Linked DNA regions of Kluyveromyces lactis. The protein of the gene in region 2 binds, or shares a complex with, the protein of the main gene of each other region. Links are inferred from orthologs where the notes say so. Each region holds a gene or a part of one and is shown on either strand. Other genes may lie near its edges.

Region 1 (5,052 bases), on a different chromosome or scaffold from region 2:
TTATTTACTCTTTTTATTCTTCTTCTTGTTCAATGTTTCGCATTCTTGTATTATAGGCAATTGGTTTTTCAGTAGGTTTCCCGATTTGGAATAATTGAATCTTTGTGCTCTGACGTGACGGATGGCCGAGGCACATCAGGATGGCTACCAAAGTCAATCTACATGCACCGAAAACATGCTTGCCGAAGCAAAGTTTACTTGAGCATCCTTGAGAAGGGACCGGCAAGAAAACCGGACCCTTGGTGGCAGCGTCCTTCTAAGGTACGTTCTCTTGTGTTAACGCTGTCCGGTATATTGAACCAATTAAAGAGGAAAAAAAGAAATTGATGCGCGTCAGTCTAAGCTGTCGACATTCAAGGGTTTAGTATCCTGAAAAGAAAGCTTGTATAGACAGAAGACGGTTCTTGTGACTGTTTGCATCCGTGCACCATAAAATCTCTCTTAACCACCCACACATTGATTTTCGTGTTCAATTGAAATGTGAAAAATAAAATTGTTTCCCAATTAGGACTATATTCGTCTGTGGGAAAATAACATTGCCTAGTGGCATTGGTGTGGCCTAACCAGGCCGAATCACTCACTTTCCACTAACAGACCTTCCTCCTGGTCGGTCTGGTCTGGGCTACCGGCAGTGTAGTCTCTCTTGCCAACACATTACGCATTCATGCTTGCTTCTGCCTACTGCTTCCCGCCCAGGCTAGCTTGGACCTGCGTAGTCGGGGGGCCAGTAACGCCTGCTCGTCTGGACTTGTTCGCCTTTCACTCTTGCTGCCGTCTCTGCTTCGATGGCTGCCATTCGGCAATTCTCATCTGGAAGGATTGAACCACCTTGAATTTTTCAACATTAAAATATTACACAAGGAAAGTTCATCATAGTAGATATATCGTATAGTTGATTGTTATAGCACCTATTTGTTTCAGTACATTCAGAAAGCGTAACTCAACAGAGATCAAATCAGTCACAATGGGTATGTGAACAAGATTTAAAATATACCGTGGAGATTGTCAGTGGTTTATTCGATTTTTGGTATCCTGAGGGAAGAATGGAACGTTTGAAGTTTAGTACCAAGTGAACATGAAATGAGCTATGGTTATTTAACAGAATACAGCATTTCAGAGTGAATCAATGAGAAAACACCAACCGTATTGGAAATTCAGATATTGCATCGACAAGGGGGGAGAGTTCATTTGAGTTGGTGAACTATATCAAAAGATCAGTATTTTGGTCGAAGTATGGACGATTCACTAGCATAAAACCCTGTTCACGCTGGAGGAAGTAATTTGGGTTATTTGTTGTCCCTATGTTTCTTAATTCGGTGTAGTCGAGACAACCTCAGAGAATTGTATATCAGTGAAGTCAACGCTACACTGACTGAACATAATTAACAGGAACTCAGTCGTATTAAACAACTGGGGTTCAGATAGCCTGGACCTCCCTATACAATAAGAAGAAGAGAATAGAATTCCTGCAATCAAAATAAGCTGGATGAAGCTAAAGAATATTTTTTTACTAACATCGACATGTATCACTATCTTATGATATGTTAATTTCTAACAGTTAACGTTCCAAAGACCAGAAAGACTTACTGTAAGGGTAAGGAGTGCCGTAAGCACGCCCAACACAAGGTTACCCAATACAAGGCTGGTAAGGCTTCCTTGTACGCTCAAGGTAAGAGAAGATATGACCGTAAACAATCTGGTTTCGGTGGTCAAACCAAGCAAATTTTCCACAAGAAAGCTAAGACTACCAAGAAGGTCGTTTTGAGATTGGAATGTATGTCCTGTAAGACCAAGACCCAATTGGCTTTGAAGAGATGTAAGCACTTCGAATTGGGTGGTGAAAAGAAGCAAAAGGGTCAAGCTTTGCAATTCTGAGATTATCTTTTGGAAGACCAATTTGTTACCATTTGTCAATTTTTTAACTTTTCTATAAGTATTACGAATTCACATATACTCTTTCATCACATTTATAATCTCATATCTGTCATTTGTATAGTTTAGTCTCCACTGGGTACTTCTTCACTTTGCGATTTGTATTATACGTATTCTAAGTATAATTTTCAGCAGAACGCATAAGAGTTTATTAACAAGAATTGTTTACAAAGAATAGCGTAGGACTCAGGCTACATTATTGATCCTGCAGGCAGTAAAGCTTACATATGACCTTAGCTAATATAACATGTACATACTCACCATGTATACCACTTTTTTCATTCCATTGTCTAAAATATGTTTTCAATATTTGCCATAATCGCCAATTTCATTGGAAAAACAAAAACATCGAATCAAACTTGTTTTAGAAAACAACGAACATGAAACTATACTGTTAACGTTTAGAGACATATTTCACGTCAACAAGGCCGTTTGGACGTCGCTACTTCAGCAACAACACGTAATGTACGGTGGATATTCGAATCAGAACTACTATCAACAGCCTTCTGGTCGTCCAAACGATTTTCAGCAACAGGGAAACATGCCCTTTTCGGAACCTTCTCAGCCCATGTTCAGCACCAATTATATGAAACAACAAGGATCACAGCCGTCTTTACAAGACCGTCTGACCCAACAGCAATCGCAACCTCAGTCGCATAATAATCAATATTATCCGAATGGAGGGTTTACTGATGTGCCCAACTTGAATTATCCAGCGACTCCACCACCAACTCAAAGCATTTATTCACATAACAACAACTCTAATTCGAAGGTATATCAATCCGCTCAGCATACATCTCCCGGTCAATATTCTGTTGCCAGTGAGTCCGGTTTGTACATCCCGCCACCACTGCAGCAACAGCAGAATGGTCAACAGAGTCCTGTGAGATCGGTACATCAACAGACACAGCAAACACCGCCAACATTTACTCAGCAACAAAGCTCTTCCCAACCTCAGTCACCTCAACACAATACGTATCATGCACAGCAGCAGCAGCAGCAGCAGCAGCAGCAACAACAAACTCAACAGGCCCAGCAGCAAGGACAACGACAAACTCAGCAACAGTCTCAGCAGCAAGCTCAACAACAGAATGGATCGGCGAATAATTACATGTATTTTGAGAGAAGACCTGACCTATTGACCAAAACTACCCAAGACAAAGCAGCTGCTGTTAAGCTCAAGATAGAGAACTTTTATCAGAGTAGTGTTGGTTATGCTATTGAAAGAAATCAAAGAAGATTGGAACTGGAATCCGAATTGGCATCCCAGGACTGGTCCGAGGAACGTAAGAATAGACAGCTTGCTTCTTTAGGTAAAAAGGAGTCACAATTTTTGAGACTACGTAGAACGAGATTATCGTTGGACGACTTCAATTCAGTGAAAGTCATCGGTAAAGGTGCCTTTGGTGAAGTTAGATTGGTACAAAAGAAAGACACAGGCAAGATATATGCTATGAAAACATTGCTGAAATCGGAAATGTACAACAAAGATCAGTTAGCTCACGTAAAGGCTGAAAGGGATGTTCTAGCGGGAAGTGATTCTCCGTGGGTTGTTTCATTGTATTATTCCTTTCAAGATTCACAATATTTGTATTTAATTATGGAGTTTTTGCCGGGTGGTGACTTGATGACCATGTTAATCAGATGGCAAATTTTCACAGAAGATGTGACAAGATTCTACATGGCAGAATGTATACTTGCTATCGAGGTCATTCATAAATTGGGCTTTATTCACAGAGATATTAAACCAGATAATATCTTGATAGATATTAGAGGCCACATTAAACTATCAGATTTTGGTTTGAGTACGGGGTTCCATAAGACTCACGATTCAAGTTACTACAAAAAGTTATTACAAGAGGACGAGGCAAAGAAACAACAGCAACAACAACAGCAACAACAGCAATTAAATCTACAAAAACCTCAGCTCCCAAACGAAACAAACAATGGTAATAGAAATACAATGTTGGTTGACGCCATTCATTTAACCATGACAAATAGACAACAAATGCAAACTTGGAGAAAGTCGCGTAGACTAATGGCATACTCTACTGTTGGTACTCCGGATTATATTGCACCTGAAATTTTCCTGTACCAAGGTTATGGTCAGGAATGTGATTGGTGGTCATTAGGAGCTATTATGTACGAGTGTCTAATTGGTTGGCCTCCATTTTGCTCTGAAACACCACAAGAAACGTATCGTAAGATCATGAATTTCGAACAAACTTTGCAATTCCCCGATGATATTCATATTTCTTATGAAGCTGAAGATCTAATCAGAAGATTGTTAACTCACTCTGAAAATCGTCTAGGTAGACATGGTGGTGCCGATGAAATTAAGGCACATCCTTTCTTCAGTGGTGTTGATTGGAACACTATCAGGCAAGTGGAAGCTCCTTATATTCCTAAGTTGTCCAGTGTCACAGATACTAGGTTCTTCCCAACTGATGAATTAGAAAATGTCCCTGATTCACCAGCAATGGCACAAGCTGCAAGACAAAGAGAACAGATGATGACACAGCAACAAGGGGTTCCTCAATCCAATGCAAAGGAAGATTTACCATTCATCGGGTACACGTACTCTAGGTTTGATTATCTAACTAGAAAGAATGCTCTATAGTAACGCTCTCTGTACATAACCGCGACGGAAGTTCCTAAATATAATAAAATAAACGAAAGTAAGAAATACTACCAAGAATTATAAACATTACGGTCATTAAAGTGGAGAAAATGTAGATACAGCTGATTCCCAATAGATCATAATCAAATTGACTCAATATCAGGCGCCCAGCAACGTACTTGGTATTAAATCTACGCTTCAACACAAATTATTAAAACCAGGAAATAGTGAACAACACATAACCCGGTCCCCGCGCAGAACGAAATCTTACACAGGGATAACCGTGGAGCGATAATATTGATGTTGATCTTTTAGGAAACAAATAGTAACTAAGGTTAAACTAAAATAGTTCTAATGTATTTAATCATTGAAAGGCCTATAAGTGGAAACGAAGAAATATGTATCTGATTTTATATACTGGCAAAAAAAATTTCATGTTAGTGTGAATGATCTCCTTACTCCGGGTAACGGAGTTTATCAAAGTGTTTTCCGTCCAATAT
Region 2 (6,703 bases):
AGCTGTGGTACTTAGTAAACCGATTCTAAACGCTTGTAGTGACATGACTGGTCAAAATCACTGTATTTATTGAGTGATTATACATTGGAATGTTCAATTCCTTCCTTTTGGTGCGAAGATATTGTTATGTTCATGATCTCAATATTAAAGTCTTTTTTCCTGTCGTCAAGAATTCATTGTGCAAGATGGTGGTTTGCTTGTAAATAGTCCAAGAGAAAGTATAAGCAAGATGCAATAGCTAACTGAAGGTGCTAGACAAATGAGAGTTACAAATAATTCTAAACTTTCACAATGGAATGAACTAAGGGAACTGTTTGTATCATATATTTAGCTATTAAGTTGGAAATAGATCTTTTTGTATACCACCTATTGAAATTATTCCAAAACAACATTCAAAGATCTACACCTAAGGGAAGGATATTAAGTGTAACACTAGTAGTAGTGGTAAACCTCTAAAATCTTGTTGTGCTCGGTATCGGTTTTTTTCATTAGAAATTCCTGATACGATATACATATTTAGTACCCGACTCGTCTGTAGTATTTCTGTGGTTTAGGATCTTAAAGTGACATTTGTTTCTCAAATAAAGAGAATTCTATTAACTGCAACTAACAAAAACGAAACTAGAAGAAGTTTCTATATTCCAAATGAGTTACTAGAAAAATTTGCATTCGTTATATAGACATATATCAAGATAATATACATGAAATTAGATAAAAAATGTAAGCGTTATAGGTATACGCCGTTCGGATACGTGAATAGAACTGAAGAAATTAATGGAACTCATTTGAGAAAGAGTTCAACTTCTCATAAATGGGTTTAATGCACGAACAGTCAAGCATGGTAACGCCATACCAATTTCTGCTCTTAAGAGTAGAGGAACTTGTTGAAGTTCTCTGATCTCTTGAATATAGTTGTCACCTTCTTCTCTTGTGACAGTGGTTTCGAAATATCCTTCCAATGCATCTGCGTTGTTGAACTTTCGCAAATTCAAAGATGGTGGTGTCAATTTCAATTCTTTCAATTCTTTGCTAAATTGCTCACTAATCAAATTGTTCTGCAAGCTGTTTTGATTGAAAGCAATTTCTTTACTGCTGGAGTTAAACTTATTTTTAATAGAGTTTCTGTAAGATTTTGGATTCTGTTCGTCAGATGGCACAAAAGTCGCACTATCAACACCTTTCTTCCAGTAGAGTTCTAAGACTCTCTCGGCAACGTCAAATTCTGCTTTAACAAGAGGTAACTGATCACCGTGAACTCTCTTTTCAATACCTAATTCAGGGATAAACACATCAAAAGAAGATTCATATACTTGCAAAACAGTGGCCAAAGTTAGTACTTGACCGTTTTGATTCCCCATGTCATTTGTTGTTTTGCAGAGGAGTAAATGGATAGCCTGTTCCTGTGCGTGATGTGCACAATCCTTTTTGAAATTACAATATTCAGACGTGATTTTTAAAGATTCAATAGTTTCTTTATACTCTGTACCATTAATTATGCTCTTCAACTGCCTATGAACCACATGATCAGAGTATCTTCTCAAAGGAGCTGTGAAATGTGTGAACAATGGCAAATTCAATGAATAATGCGCAAATTGGTCAGGTTCGACTTTACCAGATATGAAATATTTAGCCGGTGTTAAGGTCTTGGATAAAAATAACTCAACCGCCATTCTTGTAGTGTTATTATCTATGGCAAGAATTGAATTCAAAACTGATTCAGAACTTGTTATATCCATCTCAACGCCAAGTTTTTCAACTTTCTTTTGGAACGTTTTCAATTTGGTAGAAATTGGTTCTGGTTGTCTTCTCAAGAAAGCAACATCTCCCAGGGAAGTGAACAATCGAGTAGCAACGGTATTATTCACTTTACGCTCTATTTCCGATAAAAGGGTCAAAGCTTTAGAACGTTGTAAAATATTCAAATCAACTTTAACCTTCTCGTCATCGAGAGATTCCAAAAGGGGCAAAGTCCTGTATAAATCAGCATTTTTGGAGTTAAGCCTACAGCGGTAAAATTCTTTAGCCACTGCCTCAAGTTTCTCAACAAACTTTGAGCCCGAAGCTGAAGATCTCTCCAATTCTTGATTAAGCCTGTCATGTGTCAATGAGGTGTTTGGCTTGACACGAGTCTCGCCTATCCACGTTGTAACAATATCAAAGTTTTCAGGCTTCAGTTCATATATTATACTGACAGTGTTTGACAGTTTCTCGGGCTGCAAACTTAAGAATTCATTCAGAGCGGCTGGAAGCAAACCAACAGTCTTCTGTGGCATGAAGACAGCGCTAGATCTTTTCCTAGCTCTTCTATCCAAAGATGAACCTTCTTCAATATGGACTGTTACATCAACAACATGAAATCCTAATTCAAGGTTACCGTTGTCAGTGTCTCTTAAATGGACCGCATAATCAGAAACTTCACCAGTTTCTGAAATGGCAATGACATTTTCATAAGTACGCCTTGTTTTGCTTTGCTCTTCTGAAAGCAATACAGGTGCAAAACTATCTCTCTCCTTTGTACGGTCCTGAGGGTCTAAATATTCATCACTTAAGAAATTATTGTCTCTCAAAATTGAATCAATCTCAGTTTTTGGATCGTTCACATCGCCTAATTGCGAGACAAGAGTACCAAAGGGATGCAAAGAAGTGATTGGCCAGCGCTTGATGCTAGCAACGAAAACTTTATTCAGATACTTATCAGCATTTTCGACGAAGTCCTTAGGCGCCTGTTCTATCGAAATGGCAATTAGAGGAACTTTCTTATCGGTAGGTTTGAACCAAACAATTTTCGGCTTATTTGGCTTATTCACATCGTTGTTCGCTTGTTGAGATGGTCTTAATAGACCCAAAGTACCGCTAAATAGTTGGCCCGGAATACGGTCTAACACCGCGACTACGTGTCCAGCGTACAAAGGCCTGTAATCATCATTAATCTCTTCTTCCTCGACCAATAATAAAGATTGACCTTCAACCTCTACGTCATCATTCTTCTTTTGAGTTGGGCGCTGCTTCAATGATCCTCTTCTTTTGATGGAGCCAGATGAAGATCCCAATGTAGCATCTGATCCTTTATTTTCACTAGAGCATGATGCGCTTGTAACAATACTTGTTGAAGCATCATTATGGTAATCATCTTTAGAGTCTAGTGGAATAATATCTTGTTGAGTGCTTGCATCTTTTCTTCTCTTCTTCTCTTCCTTTTCCTTTTTCGATTCCCAGACATCGTCAACCATCAAAAGCTCAACGGCAACAAGATCACCTTCCAAAGCTCTATTACGATCCTTCGAACCACAAATGAAAATATCGGCGTCCAACACACCGTTGGTCGAAACCCAGGCATCCGATCTATTTTTCTTGTTGACCCGTAGAATACCTGCAACCAATTTGCCTTCTTCAATTAGTTGAGGAATGTTAGCTTGTGGCAAATAGGGTGCGAAAAGTGATTTACGGCCATTGGAGTTTTGCTGGCCATTTGCCGAGGTAAAACTGTGGGAAGAAGCATTGGATCCACGTGATTTATGACCTGGTTGGAAGACAGGTGGTGGTTCCAAACCTGGGTGGCCTGAATATTCTCTTGAATGCGTTCTAGAGTGATGAAATGGCGATACCTGCTGTTGCTGTTGTTGCAACCTCCAATTACCGTCGATACCTTCATTTTTCGAATTAGTGCGACGATGCGGGGTTCCAACGGGTATGAAATCATCATTGTTTTCCTTTTGGTTCAACTTAGCAGGTGGAAACTGGAATGATCTATTAGGGGACATATTTGACTGAGTTCTACGGTGACCTAGATTCTTAGACTCGGTTGTTGGAGATCCAGGGAATTTGAAGCTCGTTTGTTCATTTTCATCGACTAACTTAGGGATATCTTGAACATTGTCAATTTTGATCTGAGGTCCACTTTCTCTTTTTGCTTGTTCTTCTGCAGCGGCTCTCTTGGCTTCATTCAAACCAATGGATTGTCTTCTGGAATGTCCATATACGCTCGTCTGAGAGCCAGTTCTTCTGTGTCCACCTGCAGCAGGATTTTGTTTGTGATCGTTATTGTTGTAGAATGCAGAACCACTTCTAGAATGAGACCTGCCTTTTCTATTACCTGAATTTGGGGACAGTTGATACTGCACGTTGGGTGGTTGCGGTAAAAAGTTGGCGGCAGATTGTCCCTGTACGCCTAAGTTTCCGCCACTACTATTATTCTCGATCTGTTTTTGTAGAGTAAACTGCTCAATCATTAAATTCGTAAGTTCAGAAGGAGATTTCCTATGAGCAATGTGAATTTGCTTCGGAGTACCCTTACCACCGGTAGTCTGAACAAATCTTTCTTGTTCTGGCATAATAACTTTAGGTTAATTTTGCCCTTTAGTACTGATATTGTTGTAAATATTATATTTTGGTATCCAGGTCACAGATTCTATAGTTACTATGATTCCGAGATAATCCGCTAAGATTCCGCCAATAAATTCAAGACGTAGTTCTATCAATCAGTGCCAAAAACTATAAGTGATTGAGCCGTTCAAAGGAAAATTTAACTAAAAGCCAATAATGTATATCGTCAAAGAAAATAAAAAGTCCCAATTTCAAATTAGCAATAAAACGGGAAGATCGACAGAATGACAAAAAGAGATTTCAAAAGGAGGGGAGAAGCTATTTCACTTGAGGATAAGTCAAATTGTAAAACGTACAATGTTTGGTGAAAGCACAAGTAAATGATATCACTGATGACAAAGCTTTCGAAAACCTTGTATCACACGGTATTGCAAAACTCCAAAAAAAAAGAAGGGAACTAGAAAGAAATATTCAAGCCCGAGTAAAACGAAGATAGATAATCCTAAGAAAACAGAAAAAAACACACTCGCAGAGAGAAAATAACCCTCTATAAACTATAATTGATAGCTTTGCAGGACTTTGAAGCTGTTGGTCCGTTCTGTTTTGGGGGATCAAATTTGGCTTTACTCCTTAAATTGATCTTTTCTTCCTTCTAAATTCAACTTCTTCAAAAATTCATTTTATAAAATCAGCTATTTCCACTTTTAGCAGTTTCTAAAAAAAATCTTTTCTGTTACCCTCCACTTGCAAAAAGTCAAATTCGGAACAAGTCAGTTAGATTGGACGCCAAAGTCAAGAAGTATGAAAAGTCCGTCCATAGCTCAACGAAACATTATGTTGAACGATATCGTTCGTCAGTTCAACAAGTCTATTGCAAGTAGAATATTAAAAAATTGTCACTAATTAGCATGTTTTTTCATATTATTTATTATATTCTATCTAAAACGAGGTGGATCCACACTGTTTTACATGTAATAATATATGGAGTATTTTTAGCCTCACAAGTAATGTCACCCGGACATGTGCCTGTTTGAAAGACAAGGCATCCTCATATACAATGAAGCTGCTTGAGAGATCTTGGGCATGCACCATCGAAAGTAGCACTTACAGCGTGACTGTCGTATACATGTCCAAGGTTGTCTCCGTTTCGCTAAAAAAAGACTTTATTTCTTGAAGAGTTTAGGTATTTGTACATTTATATAGATTGGGAATTTAAAGTTCATGCAGGTCGATATACTTATTCGTAATTGGATGGATATCTGTAGTCTGTCAATTCATAATAGTTTTCTTTGATGTTCCTGACGCTAACAAATCTGTTCAAGATATTTCCAGACCCGGCCTTGTCATTAGTACCGCTCATTCTGGCACCACCAAACCATTGTTGAGCGACAACAGCCCCGGTAGATTTATCGTTGATGTAGAAGTTTCCTGCACTGTATTTCAATTTTTCATCAGCGATCTTAATAGCCTCACGGTCACGGGCGAATATGGATCCCGTTAAACCATATTGGCTGGTGGAATCAACCAGTTCACACACGTCTTCGAATTTTGCGTCTGGATATTCGTATACAGTCAATATTGGACCAAAGAATTCTTGGCTTAAATAAGGATGTCTTGGATTTGTAGTCTTTATGATTGTTGGTTGGATGTAATAACCCTTAGATTTATCATGGAAGCCTCCGAAAACAATTTCCAATTCTGGATCGTTCTTGGCATCGTCAATCACTTTGGCCAATTTATCAAAACTACCTTCATGGATCACCGGGCCAATAAAACCGTGTAAATCACCACCGTTAATCTTAGATGCCGATGTGTTCACTGGTTGAACTTCAGATAAGACACCTCCTAAATCACGAAAAAATTCCTCGCTCTTACTTTCGGGCAAGTATACTCTGGAAGTAGCAGAACATTTTTGACCTTGGAACTCAAATGCACCTCTCAAAGTGGATAGAACAGAATGAGGAATGTTAGCACTTGGATGGATCAAGTGGAAATTCTTACCACCAGTCTCACCGACAATACGCGGATAGTCTCTGTACAAACCATTCACAACACCCTTCTGGATATCTCCATATAGTTGCTTGAAAACAGCAGTAGAACCAGTGAAATGTAAAGCAGCGAATTCCGAGTCGCTCAAAACTTCCTTGGTGACTTCCACTGCGTTACCTGGGACAAAATTCACAACACCATTTGGCAAACCTGCTTCTTCCAAAACAGTTAATAACAAGTAGTTGGACAAATTGGCGTTTTGAGAAGGTTTCCACACAACAGTGTTACCCATCAACGCAGGCGCACCGATCAAATTACCAGCAATGGCAGTGAAATTGAACGGAGTTACTGCATACACAAAGCCTTCTAAAGGTCTGTATTCAGCCCTGTT

What was found.
Region 1: the proteins of SSD1 (region 2) and CBK1 are in contact, whole or in part, in a crystal structure (PDB 5NCL), measured with the Saccharomyces cerevisiae proteins. The link is inferred for Kluyveromyces lactis from reciprocal best matches to the Saccharomyces cerevisiae genes SSD1 and CBK1. Residues at the interface, in NP_010579.1 of Saccharomyces cerevisiae: Phe211, Lys212, Phe213, Pro214; in NP_014238.3 of Saccharomyces cerevisiae: Asp450, Val451, Arg453, Phe454, Phe672, Arg673, Gly674, Val675, Ile680, Glu684, Ala685, Pro686.

The regions. Positions count from the first base shown.
Region 1 is NC_006040.1:668,595-673,646, reverse strand, and holds CBK1 (serine/threonine protein kinase CBK1), read left to right. Parts: upstream 1-2,395; coding exon 2,396-4,552; downstream 4,553-5,052. Other genes in the region: RPL42A (60S ribosomal protein eL42), read left to right, coding at 965-968, 1,559-1,875. UniProt on the Saccharomyces cerevisiae protein: Protein kinase that seems to play a role in the regulation of cell morphogenesis and proliferation.
Region 2 is NC_006039.1:904,476-911,178, reverse strand, and holds SSD1 (mRNA-binding translational repressor SSD1), read right to left. Parts: upstream 4,332-6,703; coding exon 798-4,331; downstream 1-797. Other genes in the region: RRF1 (Rrf1p), read right to left, coding at 1-45; PUT2 (1-pyrroline-5-carboxylate dehydrogenase), read right to left, coding at 5,561-6,703. UniProt on the Saccharomyces cerevisiae protein: Can suppress the lethality due to deletion of SIT4, and partially the defects due to BCY1 disruption. Is implicated in the control of the cell cycle G1 phase.